5 linked regions of the Oryzias latipes genome follow. The protein of the gene in region 5 interacts with the protein of the main gene of each other region in a pairwise test. Links are inferred from orthologs where the notes say so. Each region holds a gene or a part of one and is shown on either strand. Other genes may lie near its edges. The genes, in order: mettl17, cwf19l2, nck2, ppp1r16b and sf3b4.

What was found.
Region 1: the proteins of sf3b4 (region 5) and mettl17 interact in binary tests that used the Homo sapiens proteins (3 or more experiments, as listed by UniProt). The link is inferred for Oryzias latipes from reciprocal best matches to the Homo sapiens genes SF3B4 and METTL17.
Region 2: the proteins of sf3b4 (region 5) and cwf19l2 interact in binary tests that used the Homo sapiens proteins (3 or more experiments, as listed by UniProt). The two-hybrid records come from large-scale screens. The link is inferred for Oryzias latipes from reciprocal best matches to the Homo sapiens genes SF3B4 and CWF19L2.
Region 3: the proteins of sf3b4 (region 5) and nck2 interact in binary tests that used the Homo sapiens proteins (3 or more experiments, as listed by UniProt). The two-hybrid records come from large-scale screens. The link is inferred for Oryzias latipes from reciprocal best matches to the Homo sapiens genes SF3B4 and NCK2.
Region 4: the proteins of sf3b4 (region 5) and ppp1r16b interact in binary tests that used the Homo sapiens proteins (3 or more experiments, as listed by UniProt). The two-hybrid records come from large-scale screens. The link is inferred for Oryzias latipes from reciprocal best matches to the Homo sapiens genes SF3B4 and PPP1R16B.

Annotation. Positions count from the first base shown.
Region 1 is NC_019875.2:3,349,314-3,353,978, reverse strand, and holds the start of mettl17 (methyltransferase-like protein 17, mitochondrial), read left to right. Parts: upstream 1-1,778; 5' UTR 1,779-1,902; coding exon 1,903-1,971; intron 1,972-3,080; coding exon 3,081-3,222; intron 3,223-3,325; coding exon 3,326-3,475; intron 3,476-4,224; coding exon 4,225-4,312; intron 4,313-4,483; coding exon 4,484-4,565; intron 4,566-4,657; coding exon 4,658-4,665. Other genes in the region: parp2 (poly [ADP-ribose] polymerase 2), read right to left, coding at 860-1,069, 1,295-1,367. UniProt on the Homo sapiens protein: Mitochondrial ribosome (mitoribosome) assembly factor. Binds at the interface of the head and body domains of the mitochondrial small ribosomal subunit (mt-SSU), occluding the mRNA channel and preventing compaction of the head domain towards the body.
Region 2 is NC_019871.2:20,782,255-20,786,871, reverse strand, and holds the start of cwf19l2 (CWF19-like protein 2), read right to left. Parts: upstream 2,937-4,617; 5' UTR 2,898-2,936; coding exon 2,805-2,897; intron 1,959-2,804; coding exon 1,848-1,958; intron 832-1,847; coding exon 706-831; intron 1-705. Other genes in the region: alkbh8 (alkylated DNA repair protein alkB homolog 8), read right to left, coding at 4,096-4,617.
Region 3 is NC_019879.2:10,329,371-10,333,246, forward strand, and holds part of nck2 (cytoplasmic protein NCK2), read left to right. Parts: intron 1-2,854; coding exon 2,855-3,630; intron 3,631-3,876. UniProt on the Homo sapiens protein: Adapter protein which associates with tyrosine-phosphorylated growth factor receptors or their cellular substrates. Maintains low levels of EIF2S1 phosphorylation by promoting its dephosphorylation by PP1.
Region 4 is NC_019863.2:11,193,124-11,196,999, reverse strand, and holds part of ppp1r16b (protein phosphatase 1 regulatory inhibitor subunit 16B), read left to right. Parts: intron 1-2,220; coding exon 2,221-2,345; intron 2,346-3,876. UniProt on the Homo sapiens protein: Regulator of protein phosphatase 1 (PP1) that acts as a positive regulator of pulmonary endothelial cell (EC) barrier function. Involved in the regulation of the PI3K/AKT signaling pathway, angiogenesis and endothelial cell proliferation.
Region 5 is NC_019869.2:7,215,921-7,220,260, forward strand, and holds the start of sf3b4 (splicing factor 3B subunit 4), read left to right. Parts: upstream 1-1,455; 5' UTR 1,456-1,515; coding exon 1,516-1,549; intron 1,550-2,140; coding exon 2,141-2,269; intron 2,270-2,354; coding exon 2,355-2,906; intron 2,907-3,385; coding exon 3,386-3,544; intron 3,545-3,734; coding exon 3,735-3,890; intron 3,891-4,340. UniProt on the Homo sapiens protein: Component of the 17S U2 SnRNP complex of the spliceosome, a large ribonucleoprotein complex that removes introns from transcribed pre-mRNAs.

The sequences.
Region 1 (4,665 bases), on a different chromosome or scaffold from region 5:
TTTTTGGTTGTTTAGTTTGTTTTAGGAGGAAAAAAACAGACGTCCTTTTCCAAATGCATATTTTCACCTTTTAATTCACGTATTTATAAATGTTACATTTACTAACAAAATATTTAGTTTGCAAGCTAAATATTTCATTTAAGTTAAGTATTTTTTCTTTACAAACTAAATAGTTAATCTACCAAAGGACTAAAGGACTACCAAAATAAAAGCTGGATTTGCTCTGTCTCTGAACTGATTCTCGCCAGACTTGTAGTCCATCATGTCCTTGAGCTTGACTGATTCAAGACATGCAGGAGAAAATGCAGGAAGCGACAGAAAATAAAAAGTTACGAAAATAAGAAATTCCCACCAATCAGTTCAGAGAAACCTGTTTTTTTTCTCCTGAAACAGGCTAAATAACCAAAAATATTGCTGTCAATATTTGACTGTAGCTTTACAAACTACACCCCATTCATCCATGCTTTTATTTTACTTAGTTCTGGATTTCCCACATTACGGAGTTCCTTATGATTGTCTGTAAACTAACATGTATTTGTATCTTCAGCAAATAATATTGGTTTTAAAAGTTTTGAAACATTAAATATATAATTTATGTAAATATCGAATAGCAGAGGGCCCATAATTGATCCTTGTGGGACACCACAACTAATTTCCTTTGTCTCAGATGTAAATTAGTTGATTTTGACTATTTGCTAACTTTACTGAACTCGTTTCTTTAAGAGTCGTTTTGAATTCTGCCTAAAACTTAGTTTGTTTAAGACAGAAGAAAAAAGAAAGACAACTTTTGTTTCTGACTGAATCTCTCACATACAAAACCTTGGATGATGGAGGTGTGTTTTCTACCTTTAAAACATACCTGGTTTCACAGTCTGACTGCGAATTTTCCTTCGGTACTTTGTGACAGGATTGATCTGGACCATGTTCTTCAGATCCACCTCGTATGCGGTGCCGGAACCCGCGTTCAGAGTGACGGCCGGTGTTCCCGCAGACAGAGCCGAATCCAGCAGGGCACACGCCGCCGGCGGGTATGACTCCCACCGGCCTCCGTCCCCCTGCCACTGCCATTCTAGCATCAACACAGAATACCTGTTCACGCAGGTGCCGCTTGTTTCACACGCGCAGACATCCAAGTCTGACGCCTTTTTCTCACACACATAAGTCTCAATAAGGCACTGTATGGTTTTTGAACCGTAACAAAGCATTTTAAACAGCGTAAAACACGAAGACTAGAGTCTAGTCTAGACATGTTCAGTTTATCTGAACAACTAACTTGTTTCACATCAACACAAACCTGTTATTGACTCCATGTCTTCGTTTTTTGGCAAACTTTGGTTTTTATTCATTGAACCCCTAGTTCGCCTCATGTTGTAAACTAGATAGAAAACAGAAGAACAGAATGGAACAATGATGAGACTGTGGAGCAGGGCGGGAAACTTTTTTCGAGCGATGTTTCCTAGTCGGACATGTGTTAAGGATGTCCCGCGGCCAAAGATCGTTTAGGCATACAGAAGCTAACTCGTTTATCAAAATGAGAATTAAATAGTGACATCGTTCTAATCTAAACCATAACAACATAACAAAACACACGAAAAATCATTTTATATTATTAAAAATATATTTAGTATGCTATCTGTATTTTATTAAAACCTTTTAAATTTGTGGAAATTAAGTAAAAGCTATTAAAAGAAACATTCTGCTCTTTCCAGTTGCGTAGGACCACCAAAGATGACAAGAGTGAGCCCTCCTCTTTATCTCACGAAGGAACCAAAGATGACAGACAACAAGTTCCACTTCAGCTAAAACCGGAATTATTTTGCTGAAGGACTGCAAACTCCCAGCGTGGTTTTTGGGGGAGTACATTATAATCCGAATCTGGATTTTATTGTTTTTTGTTCAGACATGGCATGGCGAACATACGGAGCATTTGTTTTTGGTCAGAAAACACCAAGAATAAAGAAAATGTTGAGGGTTCGTAAATCGATTTATCATTACGCAGCTAATTGTGGAGGTCATACTATTTACTATGAGACATAGTATATGTATATAACGATACCTGATCTGTGTGCTTAGATGTTTGAAGCCTAACAGCTATATCTTTACCAATGTGCTTTTTTCCCAATACTTTTTTGATTTCTAAGCGTATTTGTACGCTTTAAAAAAATCCTGTTTGTGTAAATCAATCTCACAGCTTTCTCTTTGAGCTGGAATAAGAGGCTCCTGCAGTAACTTAGCTGTTGCTAGCACAGCGCTTTTCTGGACTGAGAGGTCTGAGGTCTTTCCAGGTATCTGTTGTAGCCACTCCTCCAGCTTGGGGGTTACTGCCCCGAGTGCTCCAATTACCACAGGCACCACTGTCACCTTCACTTTCCAGGCTTTCTCCAGTTCTTCTGAGTCCCTGGTATTTCTCCAGTTTCTCATGTTCCTTCTTCCTGATGTTTCCATCGCTTGGCACTGCCACATCCACCACAACGGCTTTCCTCTGTTCTTTATCCACCACTACAATGTCTGGTTGGTTCGCCATTGCCTCTGTGGTTTGGTGCTCAGGATTTCTCCCTGAGCTGCCAGGATGAGTGCTTCAGTGCTGTCCTGTAGGCCAGCCCTTTCTAGCCATTGGTAGGACTTCTTGATATCAGCCACTTCAGTTATGGTCCGGTGGTACATCCCATGCAGGAGTTTGTCCTCCCATGAGGATCTGTCCTCCAGCACTGTATCCTCTGCTCTCCATTGCCTGAGACATTCACTGAGAACAATGTCAGTTGTGGCCTTGAGCTTGATTTACTCATGGATCTTGGATGTTTCATCCTGGATAGTGGCTCACTAGTCCTATATATATATATATATCTTTGTATTTGTCAGTGAAAGAAACCGAATTGGAAATTGTATTAAAGTTCTGTCTTCTTGATTTGGTTGAAGTGACTAGAATTGTGAAATTAGGTTTTCCTAACCAAACAAAATGTGATTTTAGAAAGGGAACTATAACAAATGGATATTAATAAAATCACATTGAGTTCAATCAGAATCGGTTCTGATCTTGTGATCAAAAAAACTTAGATTTTTCTGGGATCTTCTTGCCTCAGAACTTGGGTTCTGCGGTTCGTCCACAGCCTCAGGAGGATTTTCTGAAAGGAGAACTTCATCGAAAGCACCCAGGGTTGACCAACCTGAAGACTCAGCGTCTTCCTGAAACCCTCCAGATGGCTGCACTGTCAGTGATTCACAGTAAGTTTTGTTATTGTGCATTAACTGTACAAGAAACACAGCCCGATTATTAAAAACAAAACGATAAGAGTAGTTTGATGCTCATGTGTGCTCCACCCTCCAGGAGCTCAGATCGCTCAGCTTCCTGGTCGCTCCCAGAAACTCACAAACTTCCTTTGGAGCCGGAAGCGAGCAGTTGAGGATTTGACAGTGAGGCAGAAAGCTTTGAGCCTGGAGAAGGACCTCTGGGAGAAAGCCATGCAGAGGACAGAAGGTCAGTACGGTGGCCCTGAAGGGCCAATCATTCAACACATCACTCGACACAAAAACATTTTAAAGATCCCAACGACGATGATAAAAAACAACGTTTATGGGATGAAGCAGCATTACATGTTAAAAAAACAAAGCACAATTCCAGAAACCAAAACATAAAAAACATTACAGAAAACAATGAATTTCATCAAAAACAAATTTTAAAAAATCAAAAACTTTTTTGTAAACAAAATTAATTTCAAGAAAACAAAATGAAATGTTAATAAATGAAAGAAGAAAAAACACATAGAAATGCCAAAAACTGAAACACTGAAAAACCGTAAAAAGGTAAATACTGAGAAACATCGCTGATTGGATGATGATGATGTCAGTATCGCCTCAAGACAAATAACTCACAGTTCAATTGATGGACAACCTTCATCGTCCACTCAGCCATGTCCCTCAGTACCTACCTTCTGATGTTTCTCATTGTGTTTCACTTTTCAAACATTTCATTTTGTTTTCCAAATTGTTTATTTTTCTTCTTGGTCTCTGCAGTTTTGTTTTCTAAAATGTAGTGCTGCTTTTTAAAATTTGTTTTGTCTTTTTAATTGTCGTGATCTTTAAAATGTTTCTGCGTCCAGCGGTTCGTAGATGTGATTTGCCCTTCCAGGGCCACCGTAGGTCAGGGAGGGATCCAGTCATAGCTGATGCCTGAAAACAGTCACAAGAGCTCACCTTACAGGGAAAAACCTCTACTTTGTGTTCCAGATTTTGATGAGAAAGCACTGGAAGACAAGATCAGGAGGAGGGTTTTTTCAGAACTCAGGAAAAAGATTTACCACTGGACTCCTCTGAAGTAATGCCCCCTTTCTGACCCATCGCTGTTTAGTGGAGAAAAGTGATGGCAGACATTTAAAAACACACGATGGACATCGTGTTCTTAAACTACTAGATTGTCATTCTTTCTTTAGCTGATCTTACAGTTACAGTCAAAGAAGCTTGAATTGGATCACTTTTGGTGTTTCAGGTACGATGAAGAGATGGGCGTGGTTTACATGGCGAGCCGGCTTGCTGGAGGCTATGCAGCGGTCAGGAGAGTTCTGAATGAGGTCAGAAGTGACGGGAGGAGCAGCAGGAGCACGCCATCTTTGTTTTCTCTGTGTCTTCTCCAACTGATTTTGCCTCAAACCTACCAATTCAGATAAAGAA
Region 2 (4,617 bases), on a different chromosome or scaffold from region 5:
TCTGGAGCTTCTGAAGTTACAGTAAAACACAACTTGGGGGCGCTCAAACACAAAACTGCCTTGCTGAGCACACATACCAGCGAAGAAGATAGACGCCAAGTAGCGTCTACACTGCTGTGAAGAAATAATGACGGACATTCTTAAATATCCCCGAACCAAGTACCAGTTGGAGCTACTGATGCTTGAAATATTCATGTTTTCTTTGTATGATTCTGACAAGCGCGTAAATACTTGCTCACTTCTTCTGAGTGAAAAGCGACTTTAAGAAGCGTAAAGGTGCGCAGCGCCACCTTGTGTACAGGAGTATTTCTGTTTACATTAAGCGCCATCTAATGTCAGGGAATGAAATTGCATGTTCGCTCGGCTCACCGTCAGCGAAAATCGCCTGGGTGTGAACACAAAAAACGTGGCGAAAAACGCTGGCGAATAACGCCTGGCGAATATTCGTCCCGGTGTGTACGGGCCTTGAGTCATTTCGAGTCACCCAGCCATTTGGCTGTGCTCTGGACGCTGCAGGGGGAGTGAAGAATCCTGGGCGTTCTAGTGTTAAATCGTAACTAAATTCTTCACCTGAACTCAACCCAAAAATATTTTTTCAGTTATAGAAATTATTAAAACATCTTTGTTAAGAAACCACTCAGAAAAACTTGTTGACAGATCATTTGTGTGTTTGTATCTCAGAGTAATGCATGGAAGACGGTCTACCTCTGAATCCACACTTGAAGCATCTCCTGCTTCCGTTTTCCTTTTCTCTTTCTTGTCCTTCTTCTTCTCTTTTTTCTTCTTGGATTTCTTCTCCTTTTTCTTCTTTTTGCTCTTCAAAGATCCATCCTGGTAAATGTTTGAATTTAGTTCTTTAAATGGAACCTCAGTTTGTTTAAAAAATATATTTGAATTGAAATAAATACAATTAGCAGGAAAAGAGTGAAGCTGCCAAAATTCTGCATAAGCAAATTTTGAAGCCACTTCTGCAAACATGAAGATTTACCAGCAAACGTTTAGCTTGAGTACAGGAAAAAAAAAAACAACTACCCAATATGTTGACATAAAAAAACAAATAAGTTTTCATGGTTTAAAAAAGATGAAAACTGGTTTGCTGTGAAGCAGGTGGTTTTAAATTCTAAAATGATAAATAAAACTTTATTTCTCCGACAATGGCAAACTCAAAGCAGCATGTAAGGAAAAAAAGATGAAAATTAGATTAGGTAAATATAAAAATAAGGCATAAATACTTTCTTAAGAAATGTGCCACCATTGGCATGTTTCTTTAACAACCTATAGCTCTAGAAAATGATTAAACATGATTCACGTCCAACTGCAGTCATCTTTTGATCCATTTTCAAAGCATTCCCAGTGGTATTTTAATAATAATTATGCTCTTTTAGGCAAAAATTTATAAAATCTGTGTTGTTTTCTAGGACAGTTTCTGCAGGGTGGCAGGAGTTCATTAGAAATTCACCTCGGAGTTGTGGGTTGGACTGTTGAAGTGCGCTCATTACCCATGAACCCTTTGTTTACACTCCCTCCAGCTAGCTCACAGCCCCTCACAACCCCAATCTAACATTACCGGTGCAACAAAACTGGCGAGCAGTCGTCCAGTTTTAAGACAGATTTCAGCTCAGACTGTCTGCTCCTGATTCACAACAATATGAATACAGAAATACTCAGAAATGCATTTTTAATCTCAATTTTCTTGATATATTTTATTCAACATGAGAAAAATGCAACAAAAACATGTTAAAAACAACATAAATACTATACTCATTGGAGTGGGTCTTTAAATGATGTATTTCTGTCATTGTGCTGCTTATTAAATGTCTTTCTGAAGTGAAACAGATACAACTTACGTCTCCTAACTGCTCCAGTCTCTGGTTGACTTCAGGAAGTATCCAGGTGTCCTCTCCTCTCTGCCTCTTCAGCTCCTTTCTCCTCTCCTCCTTCTCATATTGTTGCTTAGCCTTAAAAAAAATAACATTTATTATAATATCTACAGCATACCAGTATTTGTGGTTTTACAGAAATGTACTCACACATTATGTTAAATTATGCTGAAGTGTCTAGAAATAAATGGTAACACTAAACAAAGATTTGAACAAAATCTAGACTTCACATACTATTTTGGGATTATAAGTATAAATGTGAGCTGGAAAATTGATTACGATTATATATTATATTCAGATTATAAAAACAGCACAGAAAGTAAAGAGATTTGGCTAAATATGTTTTGCTGTATATCGGTTGAAGATAAATGTATAGATTGAGTTTTCCTCAGTTCTGGGCTCCACTCGGTTGTTGTCAGTTTCCTGGCGCTTGCGCAGAACAGATAAGAGTCTACAACACATTTATGTGCATTTAAAGGGAACAGCTGTAAGTGCTGCGTAAATAGCTATGTTCATGTTTGAATACAGCTATTAAGATGTTCTTGTTTTCTATCTGTGGACAGTGAATAACTACAATCTGGACAAAATGTAAACACGAAAAAGACAGGCTGCCGCCGTCTGCTGTGCTATATCGGTCACTGACTTTCACCACTTTCAGTGTTTGTGTCATATTTCCCTGCAAGCGTTCAGGGAGCATGCAGCAATGGTCCAAACAGGAATAATCTGAAAAATGTCCCGACAAGCGCTTGCTTAAAACTTCATCACGACAGCAAACCTTCTCAAAACGTCACATAGTCCCGGTTGACTTGATCGTTGATGGTACCATCCTTAGCATGTCGGTTAGCAGGTCAATCAATGTAAACAAAAACAAACGGCGGCGCGGAAATACTTCACATCTGCGTTCTAAAGAGTCCTAGTTCGTACCTTTTGTATCGCCTCTTGTCGCGCCTGTCGTTTCTTTTCTTTCGCTTCTTCGATGTTGCTGGAACTCTCAAAACTGACTCCGTACGCCGCCATAACTACGTCGTACACGGGTCTAGCCAACTGTCGTAAAACATCGCTGTTTACGACAGTTGTTTTGTGGTTCTTGTAGTTCCATTAACCCTAACCCTTAATGCCTAATTTTCCAAAGAGCTAAATAAGATGATTATGATAAATATAAGGCCCACTATCATTATTTTGTTCTATAGTTTTCAAGCATTACATGTGCAAATTAGCGGCTTCAGTGTCCAATGCAGACCTCTCCCATCATCTGTTGTCACCGTTGTCAGTTCCTGGAGTCCAAACCAAAACGGAGAAGCTGCATTCAGCTTCTATGCTCCACAGATCTTCTGGAACAGACTTCAGGAAAGCCTTAGATCTGCTAAAACACTCAGTTTTTTTAAACCCATGTTAAAGGCCCACCTGTTCTCAACAGCATTTAATTAATTTAACTTCAAAAGTTTACATCAGCACCGTTACTCTAAGCTTATTTTAATTTCCGTTCTTTTTAACTTTCTTTAATTTTTATTTTAATAATCACCCCATTAATATCTCCAGTAAATGTTTCCTTTAATGTTTTATGTAAGGCACTTTGAACTACCTTTGTACATAAAATGTGCGAAACAAACTTGCTTTGAAAAAATAAAGTTTGATTGATTTGCCTTAATGTTGGAAATAAAACAAAAAATCTGTGCTGGCTGCTCTCAATTTAAAGTCCCTGATAATTTCAAAGCACAAACTGAACTTAAAAGGAGACCAAAAATCACTTAGATGTGTTTCTTTTTCATTTATTGAATGATTTTAAATCCAAGTTGAAAACTCCCTTTTTCCCTCTGTCTTTTAGCTCAGTATGAGTTGGTGATTTTATTGATGTTTCTTACTTTTTTATTATGTTGTTTATTTTAGATTGTTGTTTTTTTTTAATCTTTCATTGTTAAGTGTTTTAGTCAGCCTCTGCTGGGTTTTTTTTTAAAGCGCATTATAAATAAACTTGACTTGACTTGAATTTTTAAAGATAAAAGAAAAATAAAATGATTTTTAAAATATGAAATACCAACAAGCAAAAACGAACAAAAGAGTCACAAATATCAAAGCCCTGTAAAAGACAGTTTCTCAAAAATCTACATTTATTAATTTCTCTTAAAATCTCAACAAGAACATCTTTTCATTTTGTCTCACTGTTCTGTTTTTTGTTCTGCCAAGTTTTTATTCGCACAGACATATCTTTCTGCATTCATTCCTTCTGCAACACAACACACCAGTTGCCCTGGTCATGGTAACTGCTCTTCACTTTGACTCCAGACACCTGAGCACACAGATGCTCCAGCTCCCCCTGCTGGAAAACATGGTAATAGCGATGAAAAACTGGAACTGTGCTACTCTCCAGTTTCAAAGCAGAAGCTGAAGCCTGAGGGAATGCTGGACTCAGCTTAGCATCTGCACGCTGGGAGGAGTTTGAGTCCGACCCCAGGCTTGAGTCGGGGCTGGAGCTTAAGTCAGGGTTTTCCTCTAGCTGCGATTTCCCTCCCTTAAGATGCCAGGGAACCAAAAGATCCTGGGAAGTAAAGGCTGTGCGGTTGGTGTGCACACTGAGGCGAGCATCAGGAACTCTACTAACACCTTGCATGTCAGAAGGTTTATGGCTGTTTTCTAAGTGGCAGGAAAGATCAGATACTTTTTCTCCACTGGATTTCTGGCTCTTTTCTGACAGTAAGTTGGTGGAACTGAACTCTCCATGGTCTTCTTTGAAGATTTG
Region 3 (3,876 bases), on a different chromosome or scaffold from region 5:
AGAGCTACTGATGGCGCCTTCTAGGAGCATGGCAGAGAAATGGTCATCTTCAGCTGATTTCATGCTGACCACAATCCCTTGTCTCCCCACAGAGCTTCCTGCCACTCAAAACTAAATCTAATCATGGCCGTCTGTCAAAACTAAGTCCTTCTTTCAGCAGGTTCTTCTTTCAGTTGAAAGCCTGATCTGCAATAGCTGATTGATTAAAACACTTCCAAACTATCACTTCAGTAGGTGGCACCAAGCTTGCTGAGTGTTCCAAAAGCACGATGGCGTGTTTTATGAGGACAAACAAGTTAAACAATGCCACACCTTGTGCAGTTCACATGAGGAAATGCAGGAAATGCTTCATGTGTTTGGCTAATCATTGGAAAGGTTATGCAGTAGCAATAGAAACTCTTTAGGATTGAGTTTCTATGTTTCTATTTGAGTCTGCAGGCTTCATCTGCACTGAGTTTATTCAGTTTGTCATCATTGGACGTTTAGGAGCACGTGTCAAGGTATATAACACAAGGATTCTTCCTTGATCCTGGAAAAAGTTTTTTTTCTTTAGTTTTTAATACTTTTTTTTTATAAAAAATTGAAAATTTAGAAAAACTGACTGTTAGAGAAAATGCTTAGGGAAAAAATTGTAAATATTTGCAGCTTAGTCAGAAATGAGGTTAACTGTAGTTATGAGACTTGGCACATTTGTTTGATTTTCACACTGCTTCTTCTTGGCGCATAAGCTTTAATTCAATTACCTATAGATATTCATCTCTCATGTCCACAGGTTTAGCTGTTAAATGTTATTTTAGAAGCCATTTGCACCACTCTACACGATGAAATTGTGAAATGTTCTTTTTCTGATCATCTTTTGAACTATTGGAAAAGTGTTCCCTTTTAATTAGGATTATGTCGTTTTTGGCCAAAATAAAAAACACTGTGGTTTTTCTACATCATTGTTTCTGCTGAGCGGCAGGTTTTTTCCCCCACAGAAATTCTCTGTTGAGGTATGGGTGGAACAGTTGCTGTGGACTAGGGCTGCACGATATGAGGAAAACTCGCGATATGCGATATTGGTGATTAATATTGCGATAACGATATAATTTGCGGTATATAAACAAATATCAAACAAACCAAAAGCATCATTTCCATTTCAATGCAACAGTATAAAAATTATACTCCAAATGACCCTCGTCGACATAGGAGGCAAACATCAAACATAAAAGGGCTCATCTGATTGATCAACAGCGTAAACGGGTCCTTCCGATTGGTTAAATGCATAAAGGGATTTATTTCATTTATTCAATATTTCAAGCTGCCATGAGTTTGTTTTAGCACATTTAACCCTTGTGCTATCTTAGATGACCCCCCCCCCCCCCTTCTTACATTGATGTGTTCTCCCTACCATGACAAAGGTGGATAAAGGTGGAAAGATTTCATGTAATCCATGGACACCAGTGAGGATCACAAATCATTGAAGAAAAAAGGTTCAGAGCACTGTCTAGTGGGTCTATATGACCCAACTCCCAATGTTAAAGTGCCTAGGATAGCACAAGGGTCAAGGTAACCATTTATTGCGATTTTTGCCATCTTTTGCGGTATGCATATTGCAAAGCTTGATGTCGCGATAACGATAAATTTGTGGTATATTGTGCAGGCCTACTGTGGACCGTAATCAACCCTCCTGCTCCCTGTTGCTGATTCACAACGATTACATAAAGAAATACTCAGAAATGCAATGTTGAGCTTAATTTTATATACTGGTCTGTCCTCCATCATCAGAAAAATGCCACAAGAACATATTCAAAACACCATTTTCATCAGAGTGGGCCTAAAGATTCAATGTTAAAGAAAGAAACCACCTTCATACTGTTTGTCAAACAGCCAACAGAATCGCCTTTCTAAGCAAATAAACTCTTTTGTTTGTTTCTTTAAATAAAGTTTGTTTGGCAGGTGTGGACCAAAAACAAGGGCCTGGCTTCAGTTGCAAGTGAACCTCGATACGATTAAATACAGTGCAGACAGACTATTCAGTAAAAGTGTACAAAGTAGCATAAGGTACAAATGTTTTTAAAAGGTTTATATGTAGTGTGTGGTGTGATGACAAGGGGAATACGTTGATCTTTGTGGGACAGTGAGGGACATCCCGGCTTTTCCGTAGTCTGGGTCAGCCTTCTCCTCATGCCCAGGATTCCTCCGACTTCAACATTTCCACTTAGTCTGTCCCAGATTTGCTTGCTTTTTATCTTGAACTGCTTTTGCACCTTTTTTATTCAAAGTAAAGCATGTGTGGGTTGGTGAGAGACCATCCTAAAGGTCCTGCTGCAAAAAACCTCCCTGAACAACCGATTCTTCAGAAATCTGGAGAGCAATGTGTAGGAACAAAGGAAAGAAAGAAATTGTGCACAGAATCAGGCGGATAGAAGTAGCTCTGCAGCTTCTGTCTTTGAGGGGATTTCACGTGTATTGTGATTCATGCTATGCATACTGAGTTTTAAAAAATCCATTCATTGATATTAATTTCTACGGAGAAAATGAACTCCGATTCATCAAATCACGAACCAGTTTTCCTTTTAAAATGGTTTGGGTTATTTTGAATGGAAGAATCTGTAAATTTTCAGCTGAGAAAACAGATTTTCAACATGAAATGAAGTTGGTTTAAAATGAAATTTAGACAAAAATCACGAGAGCAACAAACAAACTGCATCCCTAAAGTTAAAAGAAAACACTCCTAGACTTCTGTGAAGTCTTTCTCCTGAAGTTTAAATAAAAAAACAACTAAACATAGATGTTAAATTGAATGTTTGATGTTTCTAAACTCTCAAAAGTTTTCAGTGTCAGCTCTCTCGTTTGATTTGCTTATCTGCAGGTTTGGGAAAGACGAAGAGGAAGACGAGCGCTCGGGATGCCTCCCCGACGCCCAGCTCGGACACAGAGTTCCCCTCCAATGGCAGCGGAGGCGGTGGGGGGGTCGGAGGCGGCGCAGCAGAGAGGATCTACGATCTGAATATTCCCGCTGTGGTGAAGTTCGGCTACACGGCCGAGCGCGACGACGAGCTGACGCTGGTTAAAGGCTCCAGGGTCATCGTGATGGAGAAGTGCAGTGACGGGTGGTGGCGGGGAACTCAGGCCGGCCGAGTCGGCTGGTTCCCATCAAACTACGTCCAGGAGGAGGTGGGAGGGCCGGAGGACGGAGGCAGTGGAGATTCCCCGCGGGGCTTCCACGGGGGTTCTGCAGGGACTTTGTTAGCTAACGGGCGGGCGGGGGGCCGCGGCGGAGTTCTTCACAGGGTCCAGACTCTGTATCCCTTTACCTCAGTGACAGAGGAGGAGCTGAACTTTGAGAAGGGGGAGATCATGGACGTGGTGGACAAGCCGGAGAACGATCCCGAGTGGTGGAGTTGCAGGAACGAACGCGGCATTGTGGGACTGGTACCTAAAAACTATGTGATTGTGCTGGACGAGCAGCCCGGCACGCCGTTTCCTCTCTCCAGCCCCAAGCAGAACCGCCTGGCGCCGCCGCGCTCAGGGAGGTTCGCTGACAGGGACTGGTACTACGGAAACATCACCAGACACCAGGCCGAGCACTTCCTCAACGAGAGGGGAGAGGAGGGCGACTTCCTCATACGAGACAGCGAATCCTCGGTAAGTTCAGAAAATCCTCCTGAGATAAAGGAGTCGCAGTTTTGTTTTAGACGCTTCCAACAGCCTCTGAGTTTTGCTGGAATCATAATTGAGGTAAACTTTAGGAAGTGAAGATTTCTAATAGACAGTGATGAAAGTCTTCCGGGAATTCCCGGAAATCCGGGTTTTTGAGCAAACCGAACGTACTTTCCGGGAAATAAAGACCTGATCTCTACGGACAAATCGCTTTCCGGATTAAAAAATGGT
Region 4 (3,876 bases), on a different chromosome or scaffold from region 5:
GAAGATGACAGTTGAGTTGGTTACCTTAAGCACCACCAAAGTGTTTGGTAAATGGCAATTGATTGATTATAGTCGCAAGATGATAGATGACTGCGGTTAAAAACATGCATTCAGTAAACAGAAGCATGTCTACTATTTTTATTTTTCCCTTTTCTTCCGAAGGAGAAAGTTTTGGATGTTTTAAAGCAACATATCTGAAAAATTAACTAAGCTGACTCAATGCAAACATTAAAAAAATTAGATTCTAGCTGTTGATTGAAAATGTTTCAACCAACCAGAGAGGCAGGATCCACTTTAAAAAGAAATGATGCTCCTGAACCCTCACTGTATTGTAGAAAATAGACTCAAGGATGCGGCGAAGAGAAAAACCAGAGCTCCCTATCTAAAATCTAAAACTCTGAAAAATGGAAAGAAAATACAAACTCAAATACAATTCATTTAATAATTCATACTTCTAAGAATTTAAACCCAAACAGTAATATTCATGGTATGTAGCTCACTTTAGTGTAGCAGTAAAATGCCATATATGCAGGTATCCTTTTTTTTGTTTTTACTAAACTATCTTTGGCTGAATACAAGCTTAGAGAGGGGCAGAGACTATCCGTTTTGCTAAATTAAATCCTAAAAATTGGCGACAGCAGAGTATTGAATCATTATTTTGCTTTTAAAGAATTTCTTGCCTTTTGTCCTCTGTGGGGACACAAGCTTGTTGAGTTATGTTCCACACTCTTTTTACATTAAACCAATACAAGGTCATGCTTTCAGGAGAAAATTAGCTGTAACTTTAGACTTAATTAGCCATTATGGATACTGGACTTGTTTGTTGCTACTTAAGAACAGTGTAACCTTGACAACAATGTGGTAAACATTTAAGTTTGAAAGTTTGATAGCCTGGAGAAGCTGCTTCATTTTTTTTGCATATTAGACTGCACACGTTGTGAGGAATGTTACTGTTTGGGTTGCATCATGTTGTTTTGGACAGTGCAGTGTCTTACTGCTGCGCTGCACAGATGGATTTCCCAGAGAAGCTTCCCGCTCACAGCACAGAAGCTTCCTAAAAGCAGGAAGGCAGATTAGTCGTGCTGTTCGATTGCACTTGTTTATGCGAGTGACTTAAAAAACCAAAACAGCTTTGATTCATGTTATTAAAGCCCAAATAGAAATGTTGCACAGAACTTAATTTAATGGTTTATTTCAAGAAATCAAAGCAAGAATGATGCACAAAACAATACAATCAGCAGTTATACATTCATACAAAGACGCATCAAACTTAGGATAATTAGACATTAAATCAAAGATTGCTTGAAAGGGAGTGAAAGGAAGTGAACTTCTATAATCCCTCCCCTGTTCTACTGGACCATTTTTATTACATGATTTATCATCAACTTTTTATCAGAAAGAATTAAGAATCCTTAAGTATCAATAAATCACATGACAAAGATGAAGTGCTTCATCATTTTATAAAAATAGACGACACTATTTTAGAAATCAACATAGCACATGCAGATCAATTCTCTAAAATAGGTGCAGATTATTTCTCATTAGAAAAATCATGAATGAATTTTTTGGGCAAGTGAAGTGATGTATGTGAAGATCAATCACTTAACCATCTTCATCTTAAAATGCTGAAACAATAACATTTAAATATAATGTTTCTCTGAATAGGTACTCATAAACCTTCCAAATTTTTGGAACAAAAAAAGTAAATTCTTTTATGTCCTTGTAAATTTATACTAATGCTGTAAATTCTTTATTTTTGTTGTATGTTCAGTACTTATTGCACTTCTTTTTGTTTCTTACCTCTAAACAGTTTTTGCACCCTATTTACAATCATGTCCTTTTTCTTAGTTACTAATTTTTCTTCTGTTTGTTTTATTAATGTTTTTTCCTTTATTGTTTTTTTTTGTTGTAAACTCAAATAGCTCTGTCATGACTTTGTTCCACCCTGCTCTGGTTCTTTGCTGTTTATGCAAAAATGCTAACCGAATTCACCTTAGCATATAAATAAAGTAAATCTGACCTTAGTCAGTTTTACTAAGCAGTTTGTTCCTGTTGGAACCAGTAAACCTCTGTCAGACATCCCATTCGTCACTTCAGTGAATCCTTTACCCGGTTTCAGAAGGCTCTGTAGGAATTTCATATTAAACAATTTATGTTCTATCAAAGATTTATTAAAAGCCCTGCTCTGGCTTATATAGTGTGATTCTCTGTGCATGACAGGCATCACCCAGGAGATGATCAATGAGACACGAGCAGCAACGGAGAGGAGGATGCTGGGGGACATTCAGGAGCTGCTCAGGCAGGGAGAGGAAGTCAACAAGAAGGATGCTCAGGGGGCCACACTGGTAAGCAATCCAACCCTGAAACGTCTCATTTCATTTTTGAGTCCTGCTGGCTAAAAGTAGGAGGCAGGTTTTCAGATAGAATAGTTCTTATGACTCTGCTTAGCCGCTTGACCATCTGAATGTATTGCAGGATGAAGAATGTTGTTTTAGCATTCTAATTTTGTGACTTGTTTTATGTTTGGTTCTTTTGCTCTTTAAATTGTGGCTTTTATTATTAGGATGAAGTTCTGTTACTTTGTTTAAAACAAAGCTTCCTCCATTTATTTGTAGTCCTCACCATTTTACAGCCTAATGCAATTTTAACGTCATTGTCTTTAACTAAAATCGGATTTTAACCAAATTTTATTTTAAATAAATCTTTGAAAGCCAACAACTATATATATCTACTTTAATAGTTTAAGAACGGTTGCTCTCTATCCCAAAGAAGAGAGCAGTGGATTTAATGATTCGCCAAAGAGAGCACCTAAAAAGACCAAAACAGACTTTGAAGGGACACTAATATTTTTATACAGAATAGGATTTCTCATATCCTTTACCCCGTGTGCTATCCTATGACCCCACCCTTACATTGACGTGTTCTTCCTACCATGACAAAGGTGGATAAAGGTGGAAAGATTTCATGTAATCCATGGACACCAGTGAAGATCACAAATCATTGAAGAAAAAAAGGTTCAGAGCACTGTCTAGTGGGTCTAGATGACCCAACTCCCAATGTTAAAGTGTCTAGGATAGCACAAGGGTTACAAGTTATTTAGTAATATCGTTCCATTAGGATGTTTATTGTACAAAATTCCAGACCACCAGGGCATTCACAGGAATGATTTTGAATAGAGTCTTAGAGTTGAAAGTGGCTGTACAGTTGTGTGTGTAAACAGGAAGTAGAGCACTGGGCTGGGAACACTACCACAACAGATATCGGAGTTGAGGAAGATGAAGGTGGGCTCTGTTGGTGAGAAAAGTCTCTTTGGTTTGGTTTTATGAGATAAAAAGATGACTTAAAGTCCTCTGACAACATTATATCAGGTATTATTCTGGGATGTCAGTGCACAGAACAGTTAAAAAGGATTTAAAGCAAAAACTATGACCTCTTTGTTATTCTGAGCAGTGTGTGTTGCATCACAGAACTTAATGAGGTCTGTTTTGTGTATCTGGGATTTGACTACAATATAAAGCCACTGCCAGATCACTGGCTGTAAACAGTGTCCTAAAATAACCCCTTAAGCTTTAAATTCGTATCCCAGATTGTTTGTCTCCGAGTCTTCTCTAACTGATTTGTGCTTTCTGTTAATCTTCATTTAAGCATAGAGAAACAAACTGGAGTGTGGCTTATTAGAATATCTTCTTTAGGAGAGAAGGGAGTGGAGCTGCTGAGACATTATGCAATATTTATCATCTGTTTTTGAGTTCATTACTTTGTTTCTTTGTTCCTACTTTGGTTTGAAGGACTGGAAAATGTCATGTTTCCTCTGCAGTTTGTCTGGTTTTCTTCTACACACATAAATAAGGTTTTCTTTCAGTCTAATTAATAATA
Region 5 (4,340 bases):
ACTAAGGCTTTACTGATGCCTGCAGCAGCTGCTCAGGTTTAACAAGAATTAGATGGTAATCTGTCATCATGTTCCTTTTGTCTATTGTAGACTTCATTGTATGTGGTGAGAACACCAGCAGCCGAATGTATGCTCTGTGTCACCGACAGAAGGACCTACAATGCTGCTCTGGTATGGATTGTGTTTGAAATGTAGATGGATCAGGATTCAGTGTTGGTTAGAGGTACAATAAGAAGGTTAGAAAAAGGAGTTTGGAAAGTTTCTGAGCTGCTTTTCCTTTTTTGGTTTGAGATACCACAACTTTACATTGAGAAAATAAAATACAACCTCATAACACTTGTTGAAAAGTAAAAATCTTTATAGTTAGGCACCCTATAAACATGAAGGCAGTTGATCCGGTGGTCTTTTGAAGACGCTTGTGAATGCAGTTTATTGGACTGTCTCTACTTAAAAGATCAGTCTGGATTTAGGCAAATTAAACAGCAGGAGGGCTGGCATTTGTGCAGCACAATAAAAGTTTAGGAATTGGCAACATAAAATAACAGAAAATTATCCAAAAGACTGAGATTAAAGTCTACCATTTGGAATTGTGTTATGTTGATACAACTTTAAGAAAATAGGTAGTATTTGATTGTAAAACCTTTCAAAAACATCTTAATTAAAACTTTTTGGCCTTTACACTTCTTACATAATGGATCTGTAATTTGCTCAGTTACTTGAAACATTTGAAAGATTTCTAATGAGACTTAAAAGGAATGAACAGTTTGACTGAAATAAAAATTTGTTTTTTTCTGCTAAGTCTGTGACTCAAGTTGGATTAGTCAAAAGACTTTTTTCCTTTTTCTTTTCGTTTGATTATTATTATTATTATTTTTAGAAACAATGATTGCAATATCATAAGAGCCATCAAAAAATGATCTGAACATCTTTTTTATTAAGCTTTTGGAGACTTTGACCTATGTGTGTCCTTTTTGTTTCTTACTTTTCTAAATGAGCAGCCATTTTTAGCTCTTAATGTTCATTTTTTTTTAATGTAAAAGTCTCAGCTCTGTACACAAATGCATTTCACTTATGTTATTATTGATCAAGGCTTTTTTAACCCATTTTTATATATGCATTTATAAAATGAAAACATTGGCTTTTTGTGTTTTGAACTTTGTTGCATGACATGCTTTTTTATTTTATTTTGATACAGTATTGTTTTATAAAAATGGTTTTATTATGCCCAAATTGTATTTTGTATGAACAATTTGTATTCCATGTTTATACTTTTAGTAGATTTATATAAAAATGTATATAAATATGTAATAAATTGGTCCGTACAAAGTTTTGAACTTTATCTGGTCTTGTGTTTTTATTGTTCGATGCTATTAAAAAAATAATCTAAAACGAAGCAAAGATATTGTATTTTATTTTTTGAAAGAGGAGTTCATTTTATATTATAACTTCCGGTTTGCTGAACAGGAAGAGGCGGAGCTTCCTACATGAACGCTTCTGGTGCGTTGGTCATTCAACATGGCCGCGGGACCAATTTCTGAAAGAAACCAAGGTAATTTACGGAATTATTACCCATTTCTTTTGACATTTAGCCGTGCATAAATGTATGTAATGTGTAGTAACACCCAACAAGGGCACATTTTTCCTCATAGAGCGAATATGGATCCTAAAATTAGCTAATATTCTTCTGTTGAAACCGGGTAAACACATGGAGTGAAGCGGCTTTAGCCTAGCTTGTAGCTAATAAAGCCATTCTCCCAATTAATCGTTTATCGAATTTGCACTTTAGATGCACGTCCTTTTATATAAGCATTAAGCTGTGAAAAAACGTATACTCATTTCCATTGTTGCAAATCTATAAATAGAAAGAGAAAAAGCAATATTTTATGCCAGGAACTAATACTAAACAACTGCAACTTCTTTCATAATTTAACTTCAGTTCATTGACCTCATTTTATTCTTACCAGGCAGCATGATCATTAAATTTTTCACAGTTTCAACAATGGTTTTAAAAAGAACTAATGAAACTTTAAGTGAACATAAATATGGTCATTTCTTTTTGTAATTCGTATTCATTAACTTGTGTCAGAAAGTGGAAACCTTTGTAGTGTTTTACTCACCAAGCCTGCTCTTGTCTGTCCAGATGCCACGGTGTATGTCGGTGGGTTGGATGAGAAAGTGTCGGAGCCGTTGCTATGGGAACTCTTCCTGCAGGCTGGTCCTGTGGTAAACACGCACATGCCCAAAGACAGGGTCACGGGTCAACATCAGGGTGAGTGCACTTTCAGTTGGTCAACAAGATTGAACAATTATCTTCTTAGAAAATTATCTTTACAAAATTGTTTTTCTTTATTTAGGTTATGGCTTTGTGGAATTCCTCAGCGAAGAGGATGCTGATTATGCTATTAAAATAATGAATATGATCAAGCTCTATGGAAAACCCATTCGAGTCAATAAGGCCTCGGCACACAACAAAAACCTGGATGTGGGTGCGAACATCTTCATCGGTAACCTGGACCCAGAAATCGATGAGAAACTGCTCTACGACACATTCAGTGCCTTCGGTGTGATTCTCCAAACACCAAAGATCATGAGAGACCCAGACACCGGCAACTCCAAGGGTTACGCTTTTATCAACTTTGCCAGTTTTGATGCTTCTGATGCCGCCATCGAGGCCATGAATGGCCAGTACCTCTGTAACCGGCCCATCACTGTGTCGTACGCCTTCAAGAAAGATTCTAAAGGGGAGCGCCACGGCTCCGCCGCAGAGCGACTCCTGGCGGCGCAGAATCCGCTGTCCCAGGCGGACAGGCCCCACCAGCTGTTCGCTGATGCCCCACCACCTCCCTCTCTTCCCACCCCGGTCCTGACCACACTAGGAGCTGGAATGGGTATTCCGGGCATGGGAGGTGGGTGTTACGTCACATTTATGTGAAAATAGTTTTGTTTTTTTAAAGACTCGCTTTTATGAACATTGTCTTTTTGATGTATTTTTGTGGCATTTTTCTGATGATAGAGACAAAGAAAATGTAGCTCAAACTTGCATTTGACTGCAAACTGCAAAAATTAAAAACTGGATTTAAATCTGAAGCAGACAAAAAAAAAGGATTTTTCTGTAGTTTTACATAACTACTGCCATTCCGCAGAAACTATGTTCTAGAAAACAACACAGGATCTTTTGATTTTGGCTAAAAATGGCATCATCACCATCATCATTTTCATAAAAGACCGCTTTGAAAAAAGATCAAAGGATGATCAGTGTGGGACTTGTGTTTTGTGTTAGCCTAAACAAGTGTTTTTACAGATACAAATTAGCAATTAGCTGCAAAAATACAAACAAATGTACCCACAAGTCCTTCAAGTAGATTGTGTTGATTTGTGTGTGCAGGTCTGCCACCTCCTGGTGCCTTTCCCCCTGTTCCTCCCCCCGGATCACTCCCTCCTTCCATGGCCCATGGCATGGGGATGCCTCCATCAGCAGGTGGCCCACAGGGTATTGGCGGTCCAGGTGGACCACCACCCTTCCCGCCTGGAAGTATGCATCCAGGTGAGACATTGTGACTTCTTAAGAGTGGTTTTTGTCTTTCTGTCGGAGGAAATACAGAGGTTTTGAGCCTCAGAGCCGCGTTTACTTTGTTTGGCATCCGCATAAACATCTGAAAGTCAAAGCCTGTTCTCGTTTTAGTATCTAGTTTTTCTTCCCGCCACCTCCAGTTTGATCCGTTTCTGTCACTCAGGTATGCCTCAGATGCCCATGCACCCTCCCGCTCCGCCTGGCATGGTTCCACCTCCTCCTGCTCCACCAGGATCATCCCAACGCGCCCCGCCCCCCAACCTCCCCCCACCCCCGCCTATGGGCATGCCGCCCAGAGCACCATATGGACCCCCCATGGGTGAGTGTTATGACGCCTCTTCATGTCTCTGTCAAATAGAAAAAACACCTGAAAGGAAAAACGGCGTTGAAGGAAGTGTCAGAGTTGGCAGGATTTGGCAGAGACGCTCTGAAAGTGATGTAATGGGGGTTTGGTAAGGAACCAGGTCCGCCAATCATCTCAGTCACTGACTTACATTTATGAAATCACCTGTGCTTGTAGCATCCTAATATTTGAGTTGTTGATAAAGTAAAACTTCAAACAAATACCTACCTTTTCAAACTAAACTTGCTAATGAATTATTGTCAGCTGAATTAAGGATATCCTGATCAGATTCAGAGTCGTTTGGTTTTTAGTTTTGATTTGATCATTTTAGACTTAAACAGAGCACTTCAGTGAATAAGTTTGAACAATCGAGTAAAAATAGTGCAGCTTGGCCGTGGACCTCGTCTCGCGCCCCTAGCTGTCCCC